3 linked regions of the Macaca mulatta genome follow. The protein of the gene in region 2 interacts with the protein of the main gene of each other region in a pairwise test. Links are inferred from orthologs where the notes say so. Each region holds a gene or a part of one and is shown on either strand. Other genes may lie near its edges. The genes, in order: TASOR2, KLHL40 and SPMIP4.

Region 1 (3,647 bases), on a different chromosome or scaffold from region 2:
GATCTGCCTGCCTCCGCCTCCGAAAGTGTTAGGATTACAGGCATGAGCTACCATGCCCAGCTGAGAATCCTATATTTGGTTTTAAAAGGCATTAATTTTAAAAGTAGTTTTACTGATTTAACTTTGCTTAAGTGAAGAATCAAGTTTAGTCACATGAACTGCTCTAGTTTTGTATTTTCAACCTCTGTACATAACGTCTGTACTAGAAAGTTTTGTTGTCACCTTAGTGAGACACATACCAGCTTTCCTCCCGGATTTACTTTCCTTAATTTTTCTTCCCTTTGGTATTGATTCGTTTGTGGTGTGCGTGTTATTTTTTTGTTTTGTTTAACAAAGAGACGTCATTCCCTCATATCTTTTCTATGAGTTTTCTGTCTGGTTTTCCTGATTCTACTTTCTCCCTCATCTGTTACTAGATTTTAGTATCTCACAGAGAATGAGAATTCAGAGAAAGAAAGTGGATTGTTGAGTTTTTTGGTTTTTTTTTTGAAATGAAATCTTGCTCTGTCGCCAGGCTGGAGCGCAGTGGCACAATCTCTGCTCACTGCAACCTCTGCCCCCGGGTTCAAGGAATTCTCCTGCCTCAGCCTCCCTAGTAGCTGGGACTACAGGTGCATGCCACCACACCTGGCTAATTTTTGTATTCTTAGTAGAGATGGGGTTTCATCATTTTAGCCAGGATAGTCTCGACCTTTTGACCTCATGATCTGCCTGCCTTGGCCTCCCAAAGTGCTGGGATTACAGGTGTGAGCCACTGCATCCAGCCAGGTTTGTTTTGTTTGTTTGTTTAACTTAAGCATACCCTGAGATTCTTTAAGGTTTTTCAGATTGTTTTGTGACTGAAGATTTTTTTAGAAGCTCATCATGTCATTCAAAAACCCATATGCTGCAATTTTGGCTTCCATACCAAATTTGAGCTCTTCTGCTTGTCTCTCTTGGGAGTTTATGGTGCGGCTGCACCCCACCTCTCTGTGTTGCGCCCCTGCTGTTGCCACCATGCTTCTTCCCCTGTGGGCCATATGTGCCTCCCCCACGCATGCTTTGCCCGTCAGGGGCTCACAGCTAGAATTTATCCCCACAGGGAGGCATTTTCTCATGTTCTGACTCTCACTAATCTCTCATTTCTTTGGGATATTTGAGAACATTATATAATTTAATTCATACTATTTTCAAGTCATTTGACGTATCTTGGTCCAGTCTTTCCAATTTGTAAACATTATGAGAATAGATAACATCTTGTGTTCCTAGCAGCGTCATTTGAATTCGTTGTACTGAATTGGCTTCAGATGTTTATTGACAAATTGATTAATGGGAGGAGGTATGTAATTGCATACTGGCAGAAAAGTGAGCCCAGAAAATTTAAAGTTTTCAAAATATGTGTTCAAATACAGGCTGATTTGTATTGCAAATGTCTCTATGTATTATGGAGCCACATTCCAAGTTAACATTTTTAAATGACTACGTTTAAATCTCTTAATTTTTTTCTTAAGCGCCTATGTTAATCATTTTACTTCCTATACTTGAAATATCAAAGTTTAAGAAGGTAGATGAACCATAGCCACATTGACCTCAGTTTGAAAATTACTGATTTAAATTAGAATCAAATGATAATTTTGAAGTCAAACAAACAGTCCTTTTGTTAATGAAACTTGATTTTCTGTCCTTTTTATTCACTAAACTTTTTTTTAGTGTAGTTCCTTTGGCATTGTCTTATGTATGTCTTAAATAGAAATTATTGGTGGTGTATTTTTTTTATTGAGAACCTGTAACACGTCAATAATTGGGTGATTTATGTGAGACTGTAATATATTAAACTACCATTTTTCTTTATTTTAATACAGTATCTTTTATATTAGGCCTTACTCATAAGTAGTGGTTTGTGTAAGGGATAAGTAGATGGAGGCCATAATAACAAAGATAGAATGAAATTAGCATCAGATCACAAAATTAATTTTATGTTTCCAGTATACCTTTGGGGCTAACAAGACAATTATCTGCTTTGGGTCCTTTTCATCCACCTGTCCCCTTTGGGTTTGCTGTTTTAAATGAAAACTGGGCAGTGGTTGATTAGCTTAACCCTTTCCCCATGTATGTGCATGCCTTTCTCTTTCTAATTGGTGACATCATAGGCTGGAGCTTTCTTCTCTTTAAATGTGTTACTCATTGGCCTTGGCTGGCAGGTTGTTAACTCATTTTGGGCCTGCTACTATGATAAAGAGGAACACAGTTGGCTTTTCTGTTCACCTATCTACCTGCAGCAGAGAATCATTGCCTAGTAGAGTTGTGAAGTTTATCCTTCATAATAACAGCATTTAGGAAGGAATAATTAATATATTGAAAATACCTAGGGAAACCACTAGCAAATGTAAATATTCTGATTAAGGGCATATGGATAGATTTGATTATCTATAAAAAGGAACATTGTCAGTAGATTTGCTCTTTCTTGGATAATGTAAGAGGCAATGTTTTTGGTAATGAAAGTAAAAGTTTAAAAGGTAATGGAATTAATTGATGATTCTGAATACTCATGACTTTTCTAATTTTTTATTTCTATCACATCATGTAATTAAAGATCAATGTAGTTAAAATCATTTGAACTTAGTTTCTCTAATAAATCATTTGTTCAGGGAAATGATTCCTGAGAAAGTATGTTAGCAAACTCTAATACACACTTGAAACTTCTATGTTCCTGTCCTTAATTAGATTGTAAGCTCCCCAAGGGCAGGACTGTCATCTTTTTTTTGTTTTGTTTTTTTCTGTTTGTACATTTTTTGAGCTGAGCTGTATGTCTTGTGTGTAGATCAGTTCATATGTTTTTGAAAGGTAATTTCTTTCTAAATTAATGTACACATTCCTTAAGACTTGTCCCTCTGGTTTAACACATTATAATCTGAGGGTTGAAAGAGACCTTAATCTAACAGAAAATTTTAATATGCTGTGTATTACAGGTTTTACCTGAGGGTTGGAAGAGACCTTAATCTAATAGAAAATTTTAATATGCAATATATGTAACATAAGTTTTTCTCAAACATGTTGAGTTAACCATCATAGTAATATGGCAGAGAATTAATTCTATAACAAGCAAACATATCTCTCTTTTTTTTTTCTTTTATACTGAAGTCAAAGGAGAAACTGCTTCAAAGCTTCAATCAGAAATTTCAAGAGATGGTCAAGAAGATGGGATTAGCATAAATAGCGTTCAACCAGAAAATAGCACAGTGGCTCACAATGATCTTCCTGAAAACTCCATTGTCAACTATGACTCCCAGGCCCTAAATATGTTGGCCGATCTAGCATTAAGCTCTGCTACTTCTTCCACACCGGTACCTGAGCCTAGAAATCTTCACTGTTCCTCTGAATTGCCACAAAATGATGTTTTGCTCTCTAAAGAAAATTCTTTGCGAGGTACATCTGACCATGAATATCACAGAGGAGTTAAAAGTCAAAAAGGTGAATTACTTCCTAACCCATCTTCTGATAGGAAGAGTAATTCTGAGTCAGACTTAATTGTTAGCCAAGATGAAGAAAGCTTGGTTCCGTGTAGTCAGGCCCCTGCTAAAGCCCAGTCAGCACTTACTGAGGAAATGCTAGAATCTTCAGATGCAAGTCAAAGCTCTTCTGTTTCTGTGGAACATTCTTATGCCCTG
Region 2 (4,383 bases):
CTCTATGCTGTTCTGGGAACGTGCCAGGCACTGTCTTGCCTCAGGACCTTTGCTCCAGCTGTTCCCCTACCGGGAATCCTCCACAGTTTGACCCCTCTCACATGTGATCCTCTCGGTGAGTCCATCCTGACTACTCCATTTAAAATCGTTATCACCTCCTCCTGCCACTTCCCATGCGCCTTCCGTTTCACTTGTCTCCACAGCCACGACTATCATCTGATGCCCCGTATAACTGTTTATTTATTTCTGTCTCCCCTACCAACCTTGCCCCGACCCCCTGACGAATGTAAGCTCCATGAAGACACGAATTCCTGCCTGATTTGCTCACTGCTGACTCTTCAGCATTTAAAGCAGTGTACGGTTGGTTCTTGAATGAATGAGCCACATACACATGTTCTACTGGAATGCCTGGTAGGGAGTGAGCACTATGGAATCCATCATAGTCTAAAAATATTTCATTAAGTCATTTGATAAATCTAAGTTAATTGTTCAGTCAGTGTCTTCTGTCCTGATCTTTGAAAATGAGACTACAATTGATGAACATTTTTGTTAATTCTTGGGAGGCAGCAAGGTAGGAAAGGGTTCCCACAGTCTTTGGAGGAGGGCAGATCAGCTTCAAATCCTAGTGCAGCCCATGTCCGCTGTGTGACTTGGCCAAGGTGCCTAGCCTCTCAAGCCTGGTCTCCTCACTGCCTGTGCTTGCTAGCAATGCCCTGCAGTCCAGGGCTGGGCTGGAATCTCACCACCTGCCCTCCCTGAGTGAGCCTTTGCCTTTTTATCAAGAGGGACTGGACCACCTCCAGAGCTTGCCCAGGTGCTGTGTCCCTCTGAGACCTGCTGGTGGGGTGAGCAAGTGACAGTCAGATGCACCGTTTAAGAGGGACAGAGGCTGGGTGCAGTGGCTCACACCTGTAATCCCAGCACTTTGGGAGGCCGAGGCGGGAGGATCACCTGAGGTCGGAATTTCGAGACCAGCCTGGACAACATGGTGAAACCCCGTCTATACAAAAAATGCAAAAAAATAGAAATAAAAATAAAAAATTAGCCGGGAGTGGTGGTGGGTACCTCTATCTAATACCAGCTACTAGGAAGACTCAGGCAGGAGAATTGCTTGAACCCCAGAGGCGGAGGTTGCAGTGAGCTGAGATCGCGCCATTGCACTCCAGCCTGGGCAACAAGAGCAAAATTCCGTCTAAAAAAAAAGGACTGAGAGTGATATTGCTGAGATCACAAAAGGGAGGTGACTCAGTCCTAGCCCAGCCTGCTGTCATCTCTCCTATACCCACCCCCCTCCCCCACTCCCCCGCCTGACGTTATAAACAAGTGACTCAGAGGAATGATGGGGGTGTGCCTCGTAACAGTTCATCCCAGTGTCCTGGGGGCTAAATTTAACACACAGCTGCAGCCTCTGGCACTTTGGGAACAAGTTAATCTTGGTGACTGAGGCTGATGTGTATGTGCGAGCGCATGTGTCTGGCAGTGGGGCGGGGTGGGGAGGGTGTGGGGAGGTGGGTCAGGAGTCCTGAACAAGGTAGGCATCAAGACTGACTGTCCTGGGCTTCAACCCTGGTCCCTCAGACCATAGACAAGGTGCAGGGGCCCCGTGGCCAGGCAGGCTCAGGTCTAGCCTAATATGCACCAAGAATAGTGAGTATAGACAGCTAAAGTCCTGAAATATTAAACCTGTAGTGTTACTTTTTGAACACTAGAATTCAGAATGTCACTCCCCTACAATGTTAAAACCCTGGGGGTTTAAAAACCTAGAATAGTAGAATCCTAAGAAATTAATTTTCTAGCACATCTGACACCTTAGAAGTGTTAAAACCCTCTAATAGTGTACTTCCAGGACACAGTACCTTGGTGCTTCTGAACCTCCAGCAGAGCTGAACTGAGGCCCTTAGTATCTAACTTTGCCACCTCCTCATTGTGTAGGAAGGGAAACTGAGGCTTAACAGAGCGACATGTCCTGTCCCAGGCCTCATAGGAAAGTGGCAACCTTGTTTACCTAAGGTACTTTCTTGCTTTCTTGCAAGGAGGAGGGGCAGAAAGAGGAAAAGCTCTTCCCATTTTAAAGGTGAGGCAATGCGGGGTGGGGGGTGTCTTATGTATGTAATCTCAGCTACTAGGGAGGCTGAGGCAGAAGGATGGCTTGAGCCCAGGAGTTCAAGACCAGCCTGGGCAATATAGTGAGACCTTGCCTCTTAAAATAAAGGCAGGGCAACAGGGCTGCCAAAAAGTGAACACCATGTCCAAGTTCTGACCAGAAAACCCAAGGACCCTGTATCCGGGGATGGCTGGAATGAGACATATTCCGAGGAGGAAGATGGAGGCACCAGGACAGATGTTCCCAGAAAGCATGAAGGAAGGGAGACCCTGGAAGAGGGGCTCCAATGCTTCCCCGTCTCTGGACTGAGGGTCAGAACTTAGGCCATCAACTCTCCTAGGGGCATCTTCGGACCAAAAAATCCAGAGTCAAGGCCTCTCCGTGCTCCATTTAGAAATGAGGCAGCCAGGCCCTCATCTTTCAGAAGGGCCCAGACACCCTACCTCCGTCCCATAAGCCCCTGGGGCTGAGTCAAGGCTTCTCCGGGAGGGGGCCTCTGCCCAGCTGTCCCCTGTGCGTCATGTGCAGGAGGCCAGGCGGCTCGCCTTACAGGGACCCGGCCACCTCTATATATAGCCCCTAGAAGACAGCTGCGCAGTCTAAGCAAGCCGCAGCAGGAAAGCAGGGGTACAGAGAGGAGCCCCCTTGGCACCGCCACCACACCCTAGGCCACCCATCATGGCGCTGGGCTTGGAGCAGGCGGAGGAGCAGCGGTTGTACCAGCAGACGCTGCTGCAAGACGGTCTCAAGGACATGCTGGACCATGGCAAGTTCCTCGACTGTGTGGTGCGGGCGGGCGAGCGCGAGTTCCCGTGCCATCGCCTGGTGCTGGCCGCCTGCAGCCCCTACTTCCGGGCGCGCTTCCTAGCCGAGCCGGAGCGCGCGGGCGAGCTGCACCTGGAGGAGGTGTCCCCAGACGTGGTGGCCCAGGTGCTGCACTACCTGTACACGTCAGAGATCGCGCTGGACGAGGCGAGCGTGCAGGATTTGTTCGCCGCGGCGCACCGCTTCCAGATCCCTTCCATCTTCACCATCTGCGTGTCCTTCCTGCAGAAGCGCCTGTGCCTCTCCAACTGCCTGGCCGTCTTCCGTCTTGGCCTCCTGCTCGACTGCGCGCGTCTCGCCGTGGCTGCCCGAGACTTCATCTGCGCTCACTTCTCGCTGGTGGCGCGCGACGCTGACTTCCTCGGACTCTCGGCCGATGAGCTCATCGCCATCATCTCTAGTGACGGCCTTAACGTGGAGAAGGAGGAGGCGGTGTTCGAGGCCGTGATGCGGTGGGCTGGCAGCGGCGACGCCGAGGCGCAGGCTGAGCGCCAGCGCGCGCTGCCCACCGTCTTCGAGAGCGTGCGCTGCCGCTTGCTGCCGCGCGCCTTTCTAGAGAGCCGCGTGGAGCGCCACCCTCTCGTGCGTGCCCAGCCCGAGTTGCTGCGCAAGGTGCAGATGGTGAAGGATGCACACGAGGGCCGCATCACCACGCTGCGGAAGAAAAAGAAGGGCAAAGACGCAGCCGGGGTCAAGGAGGCTGATAAGGGCACAGGCGAAGCCAAAGCAGAGGAGGATGAGGAGGCCGAACGTATCCTTCCTGGGATCCTCAATGACACCCTGCGCTTCGGCATGTTCCTGCAGGACCTCATCTTTATGATCAGTGAGGAGGGCGCTGTGGCCTACGATCCAGCAGCCAACGAGTGCTACTGTGCCTCCCTCTCCAACCAGGTCCCCAAGAACCACGTCAGCCTGGTTACCAAGGAGAACCAGGTCTTTGTGGCTGGAGGCCTCTTCTACAACGAAGACAACAAAGAAGACCCCATGAGCGCATACTTCCTGCAGGTGCCTGACCAGCCTTGGGAGCTGCCAGCTAATGCTGGGCTCTGGGCACTGGGGGCAGTCTTGGGGCCCAGGAGGGGCTTGTGTCTACACAAGGAAATGCCACTGGGTCTAGGGTGAGATGTAGACTGGGGCGGTTGACTGATAGCCACCTGCTTGAAGGTTGAAGACAGTCAATAGGCAACTGCCAAAAAGCAGCATAACTCTGGTATCTCAATTTCAGGGGTGAGGTAGCCCCAAGTTGGCGTATGTTGGAGGCCCTGGCCCTGCACAGAGGTTGGGGTGGGGCACAGTGAGGAGGAGCAAGGTCTGTGTAAGGATCCTGGGCAGGGCCTCTTGGTGAAGGCCAGGCCTGGAGCTCGCAGCAGTGTCCCAGACAAAGGAACAATCCTGTCTGGTCCTCCCATTGTACAGATGAGGAAACTGAGGCCCAGAAGGGATCAGCAGAGTGG
Region 3 (4,073 bases), on a different chromosome or scaffold from region 2:
TATTTTATCTGCCATCCTGTAAACTCAAGAATTTCTATGACTGTTTTCTTTAACTCTTTGGCACACAGTTTCAACACCCTTCTTCTCAGAGGTTGTCATTCTCACCCTCACCTTCTGGTTCTTGCAGGCTCAGTTCTAGCCTCCCACATTGTATTAGTTTTTTCTCACAATGCTATAAAGAACTGCCCAAGACTGGGTAATTTATAAAGGAAAGAGGTTTAGTTGACTCACAATCTCACGTGACTGGGGAGGCCTCAGGAAACTTACAATCATGGCAGAAGGCCAAGGAGAAGCAGTCACCTTCTTCACAAGGCGGCAGAAAGGAGAAGTGCTAAGAGAAGGGGAAAGAGCACCTTATAAAACCATCAGATCTCGTGAGAATTCACTCACTATTGCGAGAACAACATGGGGGAAGCTGCCCCCATGATCCAATTACTTCCACCTGGTCTCTCCTTTGACATGCGGGGATTATGGGGATTACAATTCAAGATGAGATTTGGGTAGGGACACAAAGCCTTACCATATCACACATATCATACATAGAGCCTAACCTCCCCACATCCCATTCCTTGATGGGGTGTGGGGGGCAAGTGGGGAGGGGGGTGACATCCCTGTTCTCAGCCATCACAGGAAGTCATGACCCTGTAGGTGCAGAGACGTGGCTCACATTTGTATCTTTTGGGGAAAACTGAGATAATCAAGGTGGGGCTAGGGTCTGGGGACGAGGCAAGTAAAGGACTTTGCCACGTCCGCACCCACCAGGCAAGGAGCAGAGGCTCTGTTAGGGCGCCATGCCAGGGGCTGCAGTTTCAAAATCCTGCAGACTCCACCCTCGATCTGGCCGCACTGTCCTCAATCCTGCGAGGTGACCTGGGGAGGGAGGACAGGTCGCATGCTCCGACCTCACCGGGGACTCCACTGGACCGGAGTTCTTCCTCCGCCCAGTCCACATGAGAACACTCCGTGGCCGCCGGGAGACAGCTTCAGACCTGGAAGCCCTGGAAAAATAAACTGATATCGCCATCGCCGCTGCCGCTAGAGGGCGCCTGGGGGCGAGGCGCGGGTGGGGCCAGGCGGTGTCCTACAGGAGGCAGGGCGGCGAGCCGAGAGGGGCGGGGCAAGGGACCGGGAGGCGGGGCCAGCGGCCGCAAGGCGGAAGAGACCCTCTCACCTCCGACACCGCGCCTCTCGCTGTCTTCACTGTCAGTACCTCTTCGCGTTCTTGCCAGTGCCGCATCGCTGGGCTGGCTGCCTCCGAGGTCTCTAAGAGCCGCCTACCGCGCCCCGCCCGCCACCCGGCAGCCCCCAGCCCCTCAAGGACGCATCACTTAGTGCCGCGGTCACGGCTACCGTCACAAGCGCCCCCCAGCCCCACCCTACCCCGGCCTGCCCGCCGTCCTTCTCCCGCCCCCGCCCCTGCCTGCCAGCTCCACCGGGCCGCAGGTGCGGACGACCTCAAAATTCCTCGGCCCGCGAAGGCCGCCAGCTGCAGGGAGCAGAGGGGAGGCGCGGTCCCGCAGCGCCCCCAGACTCATGTCCCAGGTGTGTCCAGACCCCCGAGGCACCGCTCGCAGGGCGATGACAGCCCGCGAGGCTCGGCCTCGGCCCCCGGCACCCTTGGTCCCAGCTACGCCGCCTCCTGGCCTTCCCCCAAGTCCGAGGGAGAGGTGGGATTCTCCCCGACGCAGTGGAAACCTGGAATCCCTTTTAGGGTCCCGTTCGTGCTGCACCCTTGACTCCACCATCTGCAAACGGATTCTTGTCCGGAATCCCCGAAGCCTTTAGGACAGCTCTTATTCTCTTGAATGAAGAGTCTCTAATTTTCGGAAAGACCACAGGCTAAAAGTCAACTGAGTTTTCTTGAATAGTTATAGTTAAATTTGAGGCAGGAATTGAATTTCAGTTGATAGCCACAAAGCGGACTGGTACGAACCTACTGGATGGTCATTGTGGTGACTACTTGGAGGCACCTTCCACTTTGTGGATTTGTTTCAGTTGAAATTCATTTCCATAGAACTTATTTAGGTCTTTATTACTGATTTGACCGCTTTCAGTGCAGAGGGAAGCCTGTGATTTCTGTGCAGCGTCAGGTTGAACAATTTAACAGTGTAAAATGTGTTTTCTGCCTGCCTTGAGTGGACAAGCCAAATGTCCCCTCCTTTACTTTTCCAGGTTGTGCCTTTTTAGCCAAGAAGCATGGAGGTCATTCACGGCAGGCCCTACTGTTGCAGGGAGCTTGAAGGAGCTGACATACTGTCCAACACCTTTTACTCTAATGAATTGCACACCCCCCTCCAAACGACTACTCGCCCAACTGCCTCAGAGGACAGGTAAAACAAAAACTAGAAAAAGCAAAAAAGAAAAAGCAGTTTTAATGTATTAGTGTATTTTATTATGTGATGAAAAACATGTATTGTTCTGGGGCTCTTCTGTTTTTTGTTTGTTTGATTTTGAGACGGAGTCTCACTCTTGTCACTCAGGCTGGAGTGCAGTGGTGTGATCTCGACTCACCCGGACCTCCGCCTCCCAGGTTGAAGTGATTCTCCTGCCTCACCTTCCAGCGTATCTGGGATTACAGGCATGCTCCACCATGCCCAGCTAATTTTTTTGCATTTCTAGTAGAGACAGGGTTTCACTATGTTGGCCAGGCTGGTCTCAAACTCCTGACCTCAAATGATCCACCCACCTCGGCCGCCCAAAGTGCTGGGATTACAGGCGTGACCACTGCACCGGGCTGGGGCTCTTCTGCTTATCATATCACAGGGAAGGCAAAACGTGGCAATTAACTGAACCGTCAAGTGTCTGTAAGGAACTCGAGAAGTAAGTGGCTGTGTACTATAAAAGCCAGACATCATATTCATCCACTACATTCTAAAATCGTAGAATGGCCCGTTCCTTCATTGGGAAATTAATATGTGGTAATCAAAGACTATTATAAAGAGTACTGTATTGGTTCCCTAACATGCCCTTCTACTGTCTAGAATTTGCTGCTTATAGTTGTGTAAATTTTTGCTTCACCAAATTCCCTGTAGCACATTAATTACACATTATGATTTAATTTATGAAAAGCAGTTTGGTGATTTCTCCAAGAACTCAAAACAGAGTTACCATTTGACCCAGCAATCCCATTATTGGATTCTAAGTTGTTCTTATACGTTGTTCTATCAAAGGAATATAAGTTGTTCTAACATAAAGACACAGGTATGTTCATCACAGCACTATTCACAATAGCAAAGATATGGAATCAGCCTAAATGCCCATCAATGGTTGACTGGATAAAGAAAATGTGGTACATATACACCATGGAATACTATGCAGCCATAAAAAATGAGATCATGTCCTTTGCAGCAACATGGATGGAGCTGGAGGCCGTTATTCTAAAGCAAACTAACACAGTAACAGAAAACCAAATGTCACCTATTCTCACTTATAAGTGGGAGCTAAACATTGAGTACACATGGAGACAAAGAAGGGAACCACAGACACCAAGGCCTACTTGAGGGTAGAGAGAGGGAGGAAGGCGAGGACCAGAAAACTACCTCTTGGGTACTGTGCTTATCACCTGGGTGACAAAATAATTTGTACACCCAACCACTGCAACGTGCAATTTACCCGTATAACAAACCTGCATATGTACCCCTGAACCTAGAAAAAAAGTTTTAAAAAAAAATTACAATGAAAAATATTGCACCTAACATATCTAATGATTACTATGTGTCAGCACTCTACCAAATGCTTTGTATGTAGTAATTCGTTTAATCCTCATGACAACCCTATGAGATAAGTACTACTGTTATCTGCATTTTACATATGAAATAACAGATACACACAAGGAGTTTGCCAAGATCTTAGTGTCAGCATTTCCTCTATTGTATTTACTTGAATCATTTTAAGGAAAGGAAAAGAAAAAAACACCTCAAAACACCTGGACAATGAAAAAATGACTGGTTGTCTGCTTGTTTTGTGGAGTTCTTTTCTTTCTTTTTTTTTTTTTTTTTTAGACGGAGTCTCGCTGTCACCAGGCTGGAGTGCAGTGGCACAATCTCGGCTCACTGCAACCTCCGCCTCCTGGG

Evidence for each region.
Region 1: the proteins of KLHL40 (region 2) and TASOR2 interact in binary tests that used the Homo sapiens proteins (3 or more experiments, as listed by UniProt). The two-hybrid records come from large-scale screens. The link is inferred for Macaca mulatta from reciprocal best matches to the Homo sapiens genes KLHL40 and TASOR2.
Region 3: the proteins of KLHL40 (region 2) and SPMIP4 interact in a two-hybrid assay, tested with the Homo sapiens proteins (2 studies listed by BioGRID and IntAct). The two-hybrid records come from large-scale screens. The link is inferred for Macaca mulatta from reciprocal best matches to the Homo sapiens genes KLHL40 and SPMIP4.

What each region holds. Positions count from the first base shown.
Region 1 is NC_133414.1:7,296,426-7,300,072, forward strand, and holds part of TASOR2 (protein TASOR 2), read left to right. Parts: intron 1-3,120; coding exon 3,121-3,647.
Region 2 is NC_133407.1:106,032,952-106,037,334, forward strand, and holds the start of KLHL40 (kelch-like protein 40), read left to right. Parts: upstream 1-1,474; 5' UTR 1,475-2,782; coding exon 2,783-3,934; intron 3,935-4,383. UniProt on the Homo sapiens protein: Substrate-specific adapter of a BCR (BTB-CUL3-RBX1) E3 ubiquitin ligase complex that acts as a key regulator of skeletal muscle development.
Region 3 is NC_133408.1:103,201,905-103,205,977, forward strand, and holds the start of SPMIP4 (sperm-associated microtubule inner protein 4), read left to right. Parts: upstream 1-1,157; 5' UTR 1,158-1,542; intron 1,543-2,172; 5' UTR 2,173-2,196; coding exon 2,197-2,330; intron 2,331-4,073. UniProt on the Homo sapiens protein: Microtubule inner protein (MIP) part of the dynein-decorated doublet microtubules (DMTs) in flagellum axoneme. May serve to reinforce and thus stabilize the microtubule structure in the sperm flagella.